Linked DNA regions of Canis lupus familiaris. The protein of the gene in region 1 interacts with the protein of each later gene in a biochemical or structural test. Links are inferred from orthologs where the notes say so. Each region holds a gene or a part of one and is shown in the gene's direction. Other genes may lie near its edges.

Region 1 (7,250 bases):
AGTTGGTTCATCCTTCTTGGCCTCCACTCCTGGGGTTGTTTAGAAAGTTGGTAGAAGGACTTCACCCTTGGGAGGTGGCCCCTATATTCTTCCTTCCTTGTATGTGATCCAATCCTACCTGGACAGAAACTTCTGGGGTGCAGGTGCAAAGAGAGAGTGGCTCCCAAACCAGAACCTTCAACTAGTGCCCTCTGAGCCTGTTTACGTCAGAATGAAATATATTCTTTTTCTGATGTCTTTTTTTTTTAATTAAGGTTTTATTTATTTATTCATGAGAAACCCAGAAAGAGAGGCAGAGACACAGGCAGGGGGAGGAGAAGCAGGCTCCATGCAGGGAGCCCAATGTGGGACTTGATCCTGGAACCCCGGGATCACGCCCTGAGCCAAAGGCAGATACTCAACCACTGAGCCACCCAGGCGCCCCTTTTTCTGATGTCTTGAAGATGCTCAGAATTGGACTCCAGAAGAAGGCACCTCAAAGATTTTTATCTCACGAGGCTTTCACTTTTGGATAGATTTTTTTTCCTCTCTGGACACCCTGTCCTCCTCAATTTTTCTCCTGGGCGTTCTTCCTCAAGCTTTACACCTGATTACAGATGAGGCAGATCGCAGTGAAAATGGGGAGATCCCTGGGTGCTCAGCGGTTTAGCGCTGCCTTCAGCCCAGGATGTGATCCTGGAGACCTGGGATCGAGTCCCACGTTGGGCTCCCTGCATGGAGCCTGCTTCTCCCTTTGCCTGTGTCTCCACCTCTCTCTCTCTCTCTCTCAATCAATAAATAAAACCTTAAAGAAAATGGGAAGGGCTTTTCTGGTGCTGTAATGGACAGTCACAAAGGATGGCCTAGACTTTGTCCTGTAGGAAAGAATTCAGCCTCTTCAAAGCTCCAAGGCCATACAGGGCCAAGCTGGCAGGGCCTTAGGGTCACAGGAAAGATGATTGGGTAAAGGCTATGGAAGAAGGAAAGAAAGCCCTACTAGGGTCACGGAAGCTGGGCAGTCTCTGCCTGGGCTACTTGACTGCATCGCAAACTCAAGTGTGGAAGAGGAATTCAGGGTCAAGGTCAAGTGTGTAACAGAAGCAGTTCCTTGTTAGGTGAAGTGAGGGCTACTGACAGAGAAACAAGAACAAACCTGAGAGTTGTGTGGAGATTTACCCCTCACAGAGCTTGTTGCTTCCACTGGGCTCATTACCATCTTTTTCTGGGAAAGCTGGAGAAAACTGCTTGGCTGTGTAGTTGGTCGGTAACACCACTTAGAGGCCGTGTGGATTTGGGCAAGTCACTTGAGACTTGGGGTTTACATACGAAAAAAGGGATATTTAACTCCCAGAACAATTGTGAGGATTATTTGTATTGTGTGTAACATATCCATCAGTGTAATGGTTCTAGATGCCAAATAAAAAGTAGCTGTCATCCATTTCATCTAGTGCAGTTCTCAAGCCTGCCTCACATCAGAATCACCTGTAGAACTTCTAAAACTATCACCCCCAGGCCTAGATTACTTAGTATCAGAGCTAAGATTTAAATCCAAGTGTGCAGGATGCCTGGACACACACATTAGCCGCTGGCCTACACAGCTTTCCTATAGGGCCTGGATCAGTTCTATCAGAATCTTTGAGGGAAGTATCTGACGCAGGGTTATTTCCCCCTAAAGCTGCAACCCCTGGTTCCATCTCCAGGATAGCCATGGGTAGCCAGGGATGCAAACTCCTTGAAATCAAGCCACTAATTTTACAGAAGCTAGCCGAGAGGCTGAGCAGTGGGCTGAAGGTCACACACATAGTTCTGTGAGCGGGTAAGGCCCTAGATTCCCTGGCAAGGATCTTCCCTCTCTCGTTGGGGGACTTTTACCCCACCCTTGATTGTGTCTAACAAAAAATAATCAGGACATTTTTGTTTTGCGGGTTGAGAGGGTAATCAAGGGCCAACCCCTGAACTACCCAGAGTGCAGCAGGTGCAGAAGCACTGGGCGGGGACCGGGCAGAGCAGCGGGGAACGTCGTCCTTCCAGGTTCGCAGGACCCTGACCCCCTGCGCCACGCCTCGCTCTCTGGAGGGCCTCTAGCACCTGCACGTCCTAGGCCCTCTGAGCCGCAGAGCGAACCCAAGGCCCTACAGCCCCGACACTTGGCTATTCAGGGCGCCGAGCACCCGACCCACACGTCATTCGCAGATACCCTCCCCCAGGGTCGGAGCCCCAAACAGCTGTTTTTCCCGACCGGCCCAAGCCCCTGCCATTGGCTGTAGCCTTTGGTCACCTGACTTGTTCGAGCCAACGAGAGGCAGCAGAATTAATACTTCCGCTTTCATGCGCCTAACGAGCCTCTGAGCCCGCCTTTCGGATGCTCTGATTGGTCTTCCTCGCTCAGGCCCGCAACTTATTGGCCAGCGCCGTGGGGCCACAGTCCAGCGGCCTCCGAGGGCTGTGTCAGACAGCCCCGCCGCCATGGCGTCCTATTTCGATGAGCACGACTGCGAGCCGCTGGATTCCGAGCAGGAGGCCCGAACCAGTATGTTGCTGGAGCTCGCAAGGTGGGTGCACGGAGCTGGGGGGTGGGGGCTCGGGTAGCAGGTATCTGGGCTGGGGCTGGCTGGACAAGGCGGATTATAGACGGCAGAGAGTCTGGGGAGGACGGATGAATCTTATGATGGAGAGTTAGTCCAGAGACGAGATTCGAGGAAGATCGATAATTTGGACCATCCGTGGGCGGGCCGGGGATGGTAGGAAAGATGGGAGCTGGCGAATAGGGGAGAGTGGGGGGCGGCAGGGCAGTCGGTTCTAGCAGGGGAGGGGCCGTGTGGGCGTGAGTAGGTACATTCGTTAGGAACAACAAGCACGGAAACCACCATTGCCACTTGGAATCTGGCTTTACCAGGTCATGTCTACATGGCCTGAGTAATTTCTCTGAGCCTGTTGCCTCATGTGTAAAATGGGACTAGGACAGCCCCGGTGGCTCAGCGGTTTAGCGCCGCCTTCGGTCCAGGGCGTGATCTTGAAGACTCGGGATCGAGTCCGACGTTGGGCTCCCTGCATGGAGCCTGCTTCTCCCTCCTCCTGTGTCTCTGCCTCTCTCTGTCTCTCTCCTGAATAAATAAATACAATCTTTAAAAAATAATAAAATGGGACAAAATAGCTTGCATGCTTGGGGTTGTCTTATAGCAACTGTAAACCATTTTCCATTGTGCTTTTTTATCTAGTGAACACTTTTGGGGGCTAGCTGTTGGTACTGGCTCGACAGAATATTTATCTGTTAATGCCTACTGGATTGTGGGGGCAAAAAGAAAGTACGGTTTTCTTCGGTTCTGATCATGCATCGTTCCTCCCAGGTCACTTTTCAATAGGATGGACTTTGAAGACTTGGGGTTGGTAGTAGATTGGGATCATCATCTGCCTCCACCTGCTGCCAAGGCTGTGGTTGAGAACCTTCCCAGGACAGTCATCAGGAGCTCTCAGGCTGGTGAGAACACAAATTCTTACTATTTGGGGCAGGTTTGCCAGACGCACCTGCTCCCAAGCTAGACTGGTCTAGCCCTTCAGTTTTCCAGGTCAGGTTGGGGCAAGAATGTCTTTCAGGAGTGGGAGCCGGGAGGCAGGGCCTGTAGCAGCTCTCCTGATCAGCACTCCTTCCTCAAGAGCTCAAGTGCCCCGTGTGTCTTTTGGAATTTGAGGAGGAGGAGACTGCCATTGAGATGCCTTGCCGTCACCTCTTCCATTCCAACTGCATTCTACCCTGGCTAAGCAAGGTACCGCTTCCTTTCTCTCAGCCCTTACCCTGCCCTGGGCCCAATTCTCAAGCCTCTTTCTGTTTATGGACTGTTAGGGGATCAGAGAAGGGAGAGGGTACGGGTGGGAACTGGGAGCAAGGGGCAGATGTTAGCTTATAAAGACCAGACCTGGGCTGGAACACTGCCCTCCTTTTCTCAGACAAATTCCTGCCCCCTGTGCCGCCATGAGCTGCCCACTGATGATGACGCTTATGAGGAGCACAGACGAGATAAGGTAAGGGCTGGTGGTAAGTGAAGAGGGTGGTAATGTGGACCCCTTAGTCGCTGTCCTCAGTGTTCTCATTCCCTACCTTAGCAGGCTTGGTTAGGCCTCAGAGTCACTGACTCTGGTCGTCTTCCTGGTGACTTTGGTGAGGGACAAGAGCCTTGGCGATGCACATGCTTGGGGCCTGAAAACAGTGATAGCTGTCCCATCGCTCCCCCCACAGGGCTTCAGGTATGACCCATGCCCAGTGTTTCCTCTTTCCTTCAGGCTCGCAAGCAGCAGCAAAAGCACCGGCTTGAGAACCTCCACGGAGCCATGTACACATGAGGTGCCTGGGGTTGAGCACTCGTCCTCCACAATATCTTCCTCCTGCACCTTGAATCCTCATTAAAGATTTCTTTACCCACCCTGCACTGCATTGCTCACAGGCCTGGGCAGGGGTTCTGTATCCTCCATGAGGTCCCTACTGTGGTTGGGGGAACCACAGAAAGTACCGGGCTACATGTCCCTTCCTGCCAAGCCTACTGGCCTGAGAGCAGTGGAACCCAGGTCAAGAACCTGGCCACTGGAGCAGCCAGTGACTGGGCCTAGGTGTTCATCGTTGGAAAGCAAAATGTGTCAGGGTCTGGCATCCAATAGCTACTTACGGATGGTAAACAAAATCTAGCCTCTGTCTCTCTCCCCTGCAATTTTTAGTCAACCTTGGAATCCCACGGGCTTTTTTTCATTGTGAAAACCGTTTCTAGCATTTCAAAGTTGCTCTCTGGATGACCTCCTTCCCCCGCCCCCATATCCCTTACTAGAGAAGCAAACTTCACATGGAATTGGGGAAGGATCAGGTCAGTTCTTTAGACTGTTTTAACGCCTAGAAAGGGTTTCAAGCTCTTGAAGGATATTTGGATAGCACCAGGCATCCTTTATTCTTGGCAGCCCTGCTTTCAAAGAGCAGTGGGCACTCTCCCTGAGGGCAGGGGATTCCTCCCACCCTTTGCCTAGGGAAAGCTGACCTGGGTCAGGCCCTCTCCTGATTGTTTAGAACAGACTACAAACATGCAAATTAGAATTCTTTTAATAGATTAAAAAAAAAAGTATTAAAATACCCACGTGGTTCTGCTATGTTATTTGCCTGAAAGTAAGGGGCCGAGTGAAGAATCCCAGTGCAGCTCAGTGGGCCCAAAAGTGGGCCTTCCCACAGACTAAGGAGTGCTCCCCCTTCTATTCCCTGACTTCTATCCCTCTTGCTGTTTCCAGCCCCCAATTCCTGCAGCGGGAAACCCCAGTGGTGTTGCCTCGGCACTGGGGAGTAGAAGGCACCTGAAGGGCTGGCTGGGTGAGTGAGGATATGTGACCTTTAAACATAAAACACTGCAGAGTCAAGCAGTAGGTTGCGTGTGGCCCAGGCAGCAGCCAGGCCTGCTCTTCTATAGCACAGGTGGGTATGGGATGGCCGTTCCTCCAGCAGCAAGGAAACCCATATCCCAACAAAATACTTTCTCAAAATTGTTTTTGGTACAAAATAAATGCAAAGTTATGAGGTGGGGAGCTGCTGAGGCTGGGCCAGCCACCCTCCCCAGGCCTCAGATCATGGCGATGCTTTCCGGAGCACAGTTGAGGTGAGTGGAAGTGCTACTGCTTCCGGAGGACTTGCAGGCCCGGCCAGAGGCAGGCTGCAGGGCAGCCACCAGTGTCTCTGAGGAAACTGCCCCAAACTCATAGCTGAAGGTGCCGTAGAAAATGAGGATGTCGATCACAAACACCCACTCGCACAGGGCTGCCCCGTGCTGCAGCTGAGAGCTCTCATGCATAAAGAAGACACCACCTGGAATGGGGCTAAGGAAGTGTTCAGTAGGACACGTGGGATGTGGTGACACTCCTACCTTCCCAGATAGATAACTAAGCTGGGCCAAAGAGCCTGGTCTCCCACCTGGGAGGGGAAGAAGGAAAACACCCTGGGCAGTATTTTCTGGATATACGTGTGCCAAGCTCTCCCCCACTCCCCACCACCTACCCCCCCCAGCATCTTGGGTGGGGAAAGGCTGGGCTTGAAGATGCTCTCCTGGCTGCCCTGTCCTGGAAGGATACTGAGGATTAGGGTGACAAAGGCGATGGCTGCCAGCACAATCCGCAGGTAGGCCATAGCCAGGTCCTGGGGGGCAGTGGCCCCATGGTAGGAGAGAGCACAGTGCAGGCAGACAAAGAGCAGGCCAGCAGGGAAGGCCACACCAGTTCCGATGTAGTGCAGAGACTTTGCATGATCCACCTGGGCCCAGAGAGAAGGGCTGATCTGTGAAGCAGCCCTACCTCCACCACCCCTCTTCCCCACCTCTATCTCCCTTCCCTCCCAGACCTTCTGTCTCCTCCCTCAGCCCTGAAGGGCTGCAACTTGGGTCAGCCATCAGGGGACAGGGCACCTGCAGACAGCCAGGACCCATTAGTTAAAAAAGTTCAACATGCAGGCAGGCGGGCCCACCTGGAAGTTGCCGACCACCACCAGGCCCGCAGCATTGGTACAGCCTGTGATGAGCGTTGTGGTATTAACCCAGGAATGACGACTCTGCTCCAGGAGCTGCCCATAGAGCAGCAGGCAAATCAGGACCACTGGAGGAAGAGAGCACAGGTAGGGCCAGCTCTGGTGTCCTCCTCCCAGACTGGCCCAGCCCAGCCAGCCCACCGACACCCCCACCCCCATCCAGACACTGAAGGCTGAAAGGGAATAGAAGGGCAGGTGGTGTACTGGGTTTCCTCAGGCTCTGGCCAGCAGGGTGGCTGTGCAGGAGACTTTGGCCTTTGTTGAAGAGGAGAGAAGTAGCCCCTCTTGCTTTTTAGCCCTTGGTGGGAGGGGGCTACACTAAGCAAGGGCTTCCTGGGCCTTTCTGGGAGGGGGGTGGGGGTATGGGTTGGACTGGGCTGGCTAGTGGGGCTGAGGGCACAACTCACCCATGAAAGCACCCATGTTGCCAATGAGGCTGAAGAGGCAGCTCTCTGGGGGATATGTGCCACACTTGCTGGGGGTGGGGGGCAAGGACAGAATGAGAGAGGGGCAGGAGCACTAGCACCCCCATTCTGGCCCGTCTGTCTCTTGCTTTATCTGTACCTGTCCTTAGGCAGGCCACTGATTTATGAGAAGGGCCAGTTGTGTATCACAAACAACCCGCCCCAGGCTGGGCCCTCCCCCAAAGCAGAGCTCATGTGTGTGATGGGTAAGGGAGTACCCAGGATTGCTTGGCAGAGGTTGAGACTCCTTGGACTCGCTGTGGCTG
Region 2 (7,396 bases), on another chromosome or scaffold:
TCGATCCCGGGTCTCCAGGATTGCGCCCTGGGCCAAAGGCAGGCGCTAAACCGCTGCGCCACGCCACCCAGGGATCCCTGTCTCTTCCCTATAATCGACCTCTATGGTCTTCTGCTCTCTTTGCTCATGTTATTTCCTGTGCCTGAAAACCTCTTCATTCTCAGACAGAAGGCAACATGGTAGAATGGTGAAGAACATGGATTCAAGTGTTTGAATCCTTGTTTGGCCACCCATTGGCTATGTAAGTTTAGGCAATTTACCTAAAACTATGTGCGATGGTTTCTGCATTTATAAAATGGGCATAATAGTACCTATTTCATAGGGTTGTCAAAAAGAACAAAGATAGGACTTCAGTTAGGCATAATGTCCACTCTTTTCAAGGCATTCTTCACTGTCCCTCTGCTGCAGTTACATGTGTTCATGTCCTAATTCTGAGCTAAGTTCTTTAAGGATCCCTGACCATTATCTTTGTATTTATCACTCAGTGCCTTGAGCAGAATAAATACCCTTTTTTAAAGATTTTACTTGGGATCCCTGGGTGGCGCAGCGGTTTGGTGCCTGCCTTTGGCCCAGGGCACGATCCTGGAGATCCGGGATCGAATCCCACATTGGGCTCCCGGTGCATGGAGCCTGCTTCTCCCTCTGCCTGTGTCTCTGTGCCTCTCTCTCTCTGTGACTATCATAAATAAATAAAAATAAAATAAAGATTTTACTTATTTAAGGGTGCATGGGTGGCTCAGTTGGTTAAGTGTCTGCCTTCAGCTCATGTCATGGTCTCGGGATCGAGCCCCACATCAGGCTCCCTGCTCAGTGGGGAGCCTGCTTCTCTCTCTGCTCCGCACTCGTGCTCTCTTTTGCTATCTCTCTCTCTCTCTCTCTCTATCTCTCAAATAAAATCTTTAAAAAAAAAAGATTTTTTTATTTGACAGCAAGCACACAAACAAGCGGAGCAGAGCAGCAGGCAGAGGAAGAGGGAGAAGCAGTCTCCCTGCTGAGCAGGGAGCCAAATGCAGCTGATCCTGGGATCATAACCTAAGCTTAAGGCAGACGTTTAACCGACTGAGCCACCAAGGCCCCCCAGAATAAATACCTATTAAAGACCTCAGTGGGATGTGACAATATTGGGCTATACAGTATACAGCAGTAATACCACTTGGTTGAAGACAAGGAGAGAGTGGAAGGTAAGTATAGGACAGAATTAAGTATTCATTCTAGCAAATCATTGCATGCCCACCACAAGCTTAGCACTGGGAATTCAGCAGTGAAGAAAGTCCAGACTAAAGTTCAAGGAGCTTCTAATCTAATAAAGGATAGGATTTTGAGCTGTGTGCTGAATTATGAGAACAGAGGAGCTGAAAGGAAACCTGAATGGCACAGGATAGCTGGGCAGGATGCGATGATGGTTAAGTTTGGTTAGAAAATATAGAGCAGAAGGAGGATGTGGCAGTCTTCCTTTACTTGGAGCAGATCTCTTGAATTTCCTTACTGTGAAACTGCTTTTTGGAGGAAGACCTGCAGTGCCAATAAGACTTGTCACTCCTCTTCCTGTCCTCTAGAGAAAATTACCTTGCCTTTCTGCGCAAAACTACTTCTCTTTCCACTGTGTGACTTCATGTTTCCGTGCTCCCATTCAGTCTATCAGCAATACCTACTAAGTGTTGGGCTCTTGGCTAGGTCCTGGGGACACAGAAAGGAACCTTGCTCTCAAGGGAGTCGTGGACACAATCATGTCCATGAATGGACCATTACAAAACAGCATGATCGGTGCTGTGCCCATGTGTGTCAACCCCAGAATACCAGCCTGAGGACTTGAAGGAGGCTTCCCCTAGGCAGTGACCCCACTAGAATTAAGTCTTAATTGGACAAGAGCTCTGTCACCTAAGACTGAGGGTCTGCCTTCAACCAGAGAAGCTGGTGTATAGTCCCAGAACCTGTGAGCCTGAAGACTCAACTCTATCCTCATCTCCTTTCCCCTTCGCCACCCCTTCACCAGCACCAGCGGCACTGCTGTGACCACACTAAGACTTGGCCTGAGATGGAGGGAGAGTGGAGAAACCTGCTACACCAATATGGCTGACCAAGGCCCTGGAAGGAGGAAGTGGGTAAGTGCGTTATCCAAAAGGATATAGCAGCTTCAGGTCTTATCAGGGGACAGCACCCCTTCCTCCACCTCTGACCAAGTCAGAGTGGGCCACAGCAATGCAGACCACTGTGAGATGGAGAGCAAGAGCTGTAAAACAACTAGAGTGGACATGTACACACCATTATAGTTCATGGTTATCCTATCCCAAGCAGAAAGGAATGGTGGCTTAGACTAGCCTGGTGTTAGTGGAAATGTGAAGATTCAAGAGACATAGTTGAAAGGCAGAATCAACAGGACTTGGAGATAAACTACTCTCAGGAAAAGGGAGGAGTCATGGCTTTCAGCCATCAGCATCCACCCCCCAGGGTGCCCTCACCCTCTTCCTGGCAATCCAAGAAACCATATGGTTCCAGGGCCTGTAGCCCTTTCCTCTGCCTACTGCTCAGCAAGTGAGTTCCAGTCTGATAAGAAAAGCCTTCCTGTGGTGGAGACTGAAAGGAAGAGGAGGCAGCTAGCCCATTCCTGCCCAGGAGATTGTGGGAGAAGGAAGATGGCCAGAGCTGTATGTCCACTTAATGCCCTCTGGCTTCTGGAGTGGGTGCAGCTGTTCTTGGGACCTGGTGCCATCCCTCTAGGCTGGGCCTTGAACTTGGACCCAGTGCAACTCACCTTCTACACAGGCCCCAATGGCAGCCACTTTGGGTTTTCACTGGACTTCTACAAGGACAACCATGGGAGGTAAGGCTGGGGTGAAGTTTGGGTGTTGGGGAGAGAGTTACTATCACTACTTCTGTGAACCCATTTGTGATAGAGGTTGAGCAAAGTGACTTCTAGGCTCTATTCAGACAGTTCTTTTTAGGAATACTGGCAGGAACTAGCTCAAGTAAAGGTGTCAGGGAGGGGCACACATGGAAAGGTGAGCACCAAAACTACAGGAAAAACAAAGGGAAGATAAAAGTTGATGCCTTCTTTTTTCCTTCAAGGGTCAGTTGTATGACCTATTCCATCTTTGTTATCTCAAAATACAGAGAGGAGCATGTGTCTTAAATTTACTTGCAAAACTATCTACCTGCCCCCACCTTGCTGTTCTATTCCATGTCCCTCTTCCCCATCAAAATTACAGATATTTGAAAAGAAACAATAGAGCATTAATGGTTGGGATTAGTCAGCTGCGAAATCAGACTTCCAAGATTAGAATCCTGGTTCCTTCTCTTTATTGTAACTACCCTGCACTACTTATTATGGTAGATGCTGTGATGCCCACCTCTGGGGAGTGGGAATGGCAGACAGCCTTCAACTATCTGACTCTTAGGGAATTTCCTTTGCTGAAGAGAGTCACCTCCCCCAAAGTCAAGTCCCTTTTCCAATGGAACCTACAATCAATGACTGATCAATGAGGAGTGTGGAGGGAGGTGTAAGGGTCTGATGTTCTCACCTCAACTTGGGACTGTTCTGAAGGGTCCTTTTTTTCTGGAGCTCTAGCTCCAGAGCTCCCAGGATGTTGCCTCATGGCTGTCAATGGGTCTGGATCTGCATTTGACCTCTTTCTCTGCCCACTCCTGCTTCTCTCCCTTTCTAAATACTGGCCTCATAGGCATTACTTAAACATCCTGCAAGCTAAAAGAAAATTATAGCATTTTTTTTTTAGTACTTGTTAAGCATTACTTGGCTGGCACCACGCAAAAATGTCCCTCATACCTTGATTTCATTTACTTCTGACATTGGTTGGTATTGTTCCCAATTTATATATGGTAGAGCTATGATTTGAACCTAGATCTACTAAAGTCTTTGGTGTTATCAGTATCCCACTTTAGAGGTGGCCAGTAGTTTCCCTAATCCTTCACCATTAAAACTAGCTCTTAGGAAAGCATCTGGTAACAGTATTCAGTTCTAGGAAGCATGTAAACCCCTGACTTTTGGTGTGGGGCACAGAAGTGAAGGATATGGAATTGGAGGGTGTGCAGAGCTTAGGAGGTCTTTTTCAGCAAGGATACAAACTCTTCATATTCAAATCAAACCAAAAGGTTATATAATACCAGCTTTACCGTTAACTGGCTAGATTACTTTAGGCACGTGGTTTCCCCACTGGGAGACGGTTTCATTGACAGTAAAATGAAAAGATTGGCCTCCATGGTCTGTGATGTCTCCTTGAGGGAAGACGATCCAGTGCCTTCCCAGGCACACAGCCCTTCCGGGTAGTGCTCTCAACACAGGCACCAGGGCAGGTGCTACCTCGGCATCTGCTCTGCGCCGCACTCACCCAGCTTTCCTACGCGCAGAGTGGCCTTCGTGGTAGGCGCCCCGCGGACCCTGGGCCGCAGCCAGGAGGAGACGGGCGGCGTATTCCTGTGCCCCTGGAGGGCCGAGGGTGGCCAGTGCACGTCGCTGCCCTTTGACCTCAGTGAGTCCTGCGCAAGGAGGGCAAAGGAGGGGCCACCCGGAGCTTGGGCAGCCTGGCTTCAGCGCCCACCCTTCTTATGCTCTCCAGATGACGAGACCCGACACATAGGCTCCCACACCTTCCAAACCTTCAAGTCTCGGCAAGGACTGGGGGCGTCGGTCGTCAGCTGGAACGACAACATTGTGGTGGGCGCCACGGAACGGGGAGCAAAGAGCAGTCGGGGGCAGGGACACGTGGGCGGGGATCCCGAGTCCCGCCGATTCCCCACTCTCCTTTGGCCCTGCTCCAGGCCTGCGCCCCCTGGCAGCACTGGAACGTCCTAGAAAAGACCGAGGAGGCCGAGAAGACGCCCGTAGGTGGCTGCTTTGTGGCTCAGCTCCGGAACGGCCACCGCGCGGAGTACTCGCCGTGTCGGGCTAACACCATGAGCTCGGTTTATGTGAAAAATCGGTTTAGTGAGTTCGGCTCCCTGTTTTGTTTCCGCCCGCTCAGGGCCACTTAGCTCCGCCCTCAGCACCTCCCCAGGAGCCGCCCAGTCCCCGGCTTTCGGTCCCGCATTTCCCCTTGGCCCAGCTCCTAGTCCCATCCCGCCTCGCTCAGCTTGGGGGCCTCGCCTGTAGGTTACCCCGTGGCCCCGCCCCGGCCCCCGCCCCGGCCCCGCCCCGGCCCCGCCCCGCCCCGCCTCTGCCCCGCCCCGCCCCTTCGCTGACCCCTCCCCTCCCTCCTCTAGACCAAGACAAGCGCTATTGCGAAGCGGGCTTCAGCGCTGCGGTCACTCAGGCGAGTGGGGAGCACTAGCGGCGTGGGGGGGGGGGCTTCCAAACACGGCCCCCCCTCACTTCCAGGGCTTCCCTTTCAGGCTGGAGTGCTGGTGCTTGGGGCCCCCGGCGGCTATTTTTTCTTAGGTACGTGCCCATCTGTACACTTCACACCCTTCTCTCGGCCTGGGGAGACGGGGAGACCGCAGGCGTCTGGGCCCCCACACCCGCTGTCCCTCGCGCCGTAGGTCTCCTGGTGCGGACGCCTATTGACAATATCATCTCGAGTTACCGCCCGGGCACCCTGTTGTGGCACGTGTCCTCCCAGAGCTTCACCTACGACTACAGCAAGCCAGAGTACTACGACGGCTACCGGGGTAACACTGGCACCCCCCTCCTAGGCCTCCCAGCCCTCTGAGAATCGCCGCCCACCCCGCGGGTCAGGTCCTGAGGTGCCTCCACCCTCTGGTCCCTCGGCATCCCCGCCACCGCCAACTCCCATTTGCCCCACCTTGCCTTTCCCACCCCGGATTAGCTGCGCAGCCCCGGGCTGACCTTGGCTTCTCGATGGCCTGTTTTCCCATCTACACAATGCAGGGTTTGGACTGGGTGGTCTCTGGGTCCCCCCTTCTTCCTTGCCCATGGCCTTCCCGCTGCTTCGCCCTCCCAGAAAGATTAATTCGTGCTGTCTCTTCAGGGTACTCTGTGGCTGTGGGCGAGTTCGACGGGAATCTCAACACTACAGGCAAGAAATCCATTTCGGGGACAAAGGATAGGGAGCCCCGCCCGGGGAGGAGCGCCTCCAAGCCCCGCACCGCACCAAAGTCTCCCCCGGGTTACAGAATCGCGGGCGGGAGGGTCGGTGGTAGGGTCGAAGGACCTCATTCACTGGGGTCTGGCTCTCCCCAGAGTATGTCCTCGGTGCCCCGACCTGGAGCTGTACCCTAGGAGCGGTGAGTGCCCCCTGTCCCGCCACTCGGCATCCCAAGCCTTCGACCCCACTCCTCAGCTTCAGGAGCCCCTTTCTCACTCGGAACGGGAGGCTGTCCTGGGGAGCAGGAATGACGCGCTCCTGTGCTTGTCCGTGCAGGTGGAAATTTTGAACGAGTACCACCAGACGCTGCACAGGCTGCACGGAGAGCAGGTGGAGGCCGGTTCCGGTGGGGGTGGCCGACGCTGGGGAATTGGAGCCCTAGAATGTTCCACGGGGTTTGGGGGGGGGGGCAATGTGCAAGAGAGGGTGCCTGTCTGGGCGGGGGACGGGGATTCAGTAAGCTTCGTCTTCCTGCAGATGGCTTCGTATTTTGGACACTCGATAGCCGTCACTGATGTCAACGGAGACGGGTGAGGCTCCTACCCGTTTGGGTCCCCCATCACCAGAGGAGTTGCCTGCTCTGGGTCGCCTCCTTTCCTCCCCCACTCCCACGTAACCACCGAGGGGAGCGGGAGGGCGAGAATGGAGCCGGCGAGTTTGGGCTAATCTCCCTAACCCACCCCGTGGCACCGCCCATCCGGCCTGCAGGCGGCACGACTTGCTGGTGGGCGCGCCACTGTTCATGGAGAGCCGCGCGGACCGCAAGCTGGCCGAGGTGGGGCGCGTGTACTTGTTCCTGCAGCCTCGAGGTCACCAGGCGCTGGGCGCCCCCAGCCTCCTGCTGACTGGCACACAGCTCTATGGGCGATTCGGCTCGGCCATCGCATCTCTGGGCGACCTCGACCGGGACGGCTACAACGGTAAGGGGCAGAGAGGAGCACCGCTTGCTTCAGACTGGTTAACAGCCAGAACCAAGACCGCCGATTTGACCAGAGGGCAGCCAGAGCGGGGAAGGGCTTTTCTCTGGAAGAGTTGAATGGGACCAGTTTGTTTGCATTGGTCCAGGCAAGAGATGGTGACCACCTGGATGTGAATGTGGTCAGTGGAGTTAGAGATGGGGTGATGTCACAGATATTTAGTAGCTGGACTATTAGGACTTGATGGGTGAGTGGGTGGATGTGGAGTTAGAGAGAGGAGTTGGAAGGGATAGTGTTGATGCCTTCACGGCCTGGAGCTCAGTCTGGGTGGGGGTGGGGATGGCGGGCGGTGGGGATCAGCAGTTCAGCTCTGGGCCTGTTTGACCTTGAGGGGCTGGGGAGCATCAAACCCACGGCCAGAGA

What was found. The genes of interacting proteins can lie anywhere in the genome.
Region 2: the proteins of RNF181 (region 1) and ITGA2B form a complex in vitro, tested with the Homo sapiens proteins (2 studies listed by BioGRID). The link is inferred for Canis lupus familiaris from reciprocal best matches to the Homo sapiens genes RNF181 and ITGA2B.

Annotation. Positions count from the first base shown.
Region 1 is NC_049238.1:39,829,386-39,836,635, reverse strand, and holds RNF181 (E3 ubiquitin-protein ligase RNF181), read left to right. Parts: upstream 1-2,374; 5' UTR 2,375-2,445; coding exon 2,446-2,531; intron 2,532-3,326; coding exon 3,327-3,457; intron 3,458-3,633; coding exon 3,634-3,743; intron 3,744-3,924; coding exon 3,925-3,999; intron 4,000-4,257; coding exon 4,258-4,317; 3' UTR 4,318-5,089; downstream 5,090-7,250. Other genes in the region: TMEM150A (transmembrane protein 150A), read right to left, coding at 5,568-5,809, 6,073-6,250, 6,461-6,588, 6,928-6,995.
Region 2 is NC_049230.1:18,922,875-18,930,270, forward strand, and holds the start of ITGA2B (integrin alpha-IIb), read left to right. Parts: upstream 1-2,617; 5' UTR 2,618-2,633; coding exon 2,634-2,821; intron 2,822-4,362; coding exon 4,363-4,484; intron 4,485-4,571; coding exon 4,572-4,669; intron 4,670-4,773; coding exon 4,774-4,939; intron 4,940-5,214; coding exon 5,215-5,264; intron 5,265-5,343; coding exon 5,344-5,389; intron 5,390-5,490; coding exon 5,491-5,619; intron 5,620-5,939; coding exon 5,940-5,987; intron 5,988-6,151; coding exon 6,152-6,195; intron 6,196-6,332; coding exon 6,333-6,386; intron 6,387-6,533; coding exon 6,534-6,586; intron 6,587-6,764; coding exon 6,765-6,976; intron 6,977-7,396. UniProt on the Homo sapiens protein: Integrin alpha-IIb/beta-3 is a receptor for fibronectin, fibrinogen, plasminogen, prothrombin, thrombospondin and vitronectin. It recognizes the sequence R-G-D in a wide array of ligands.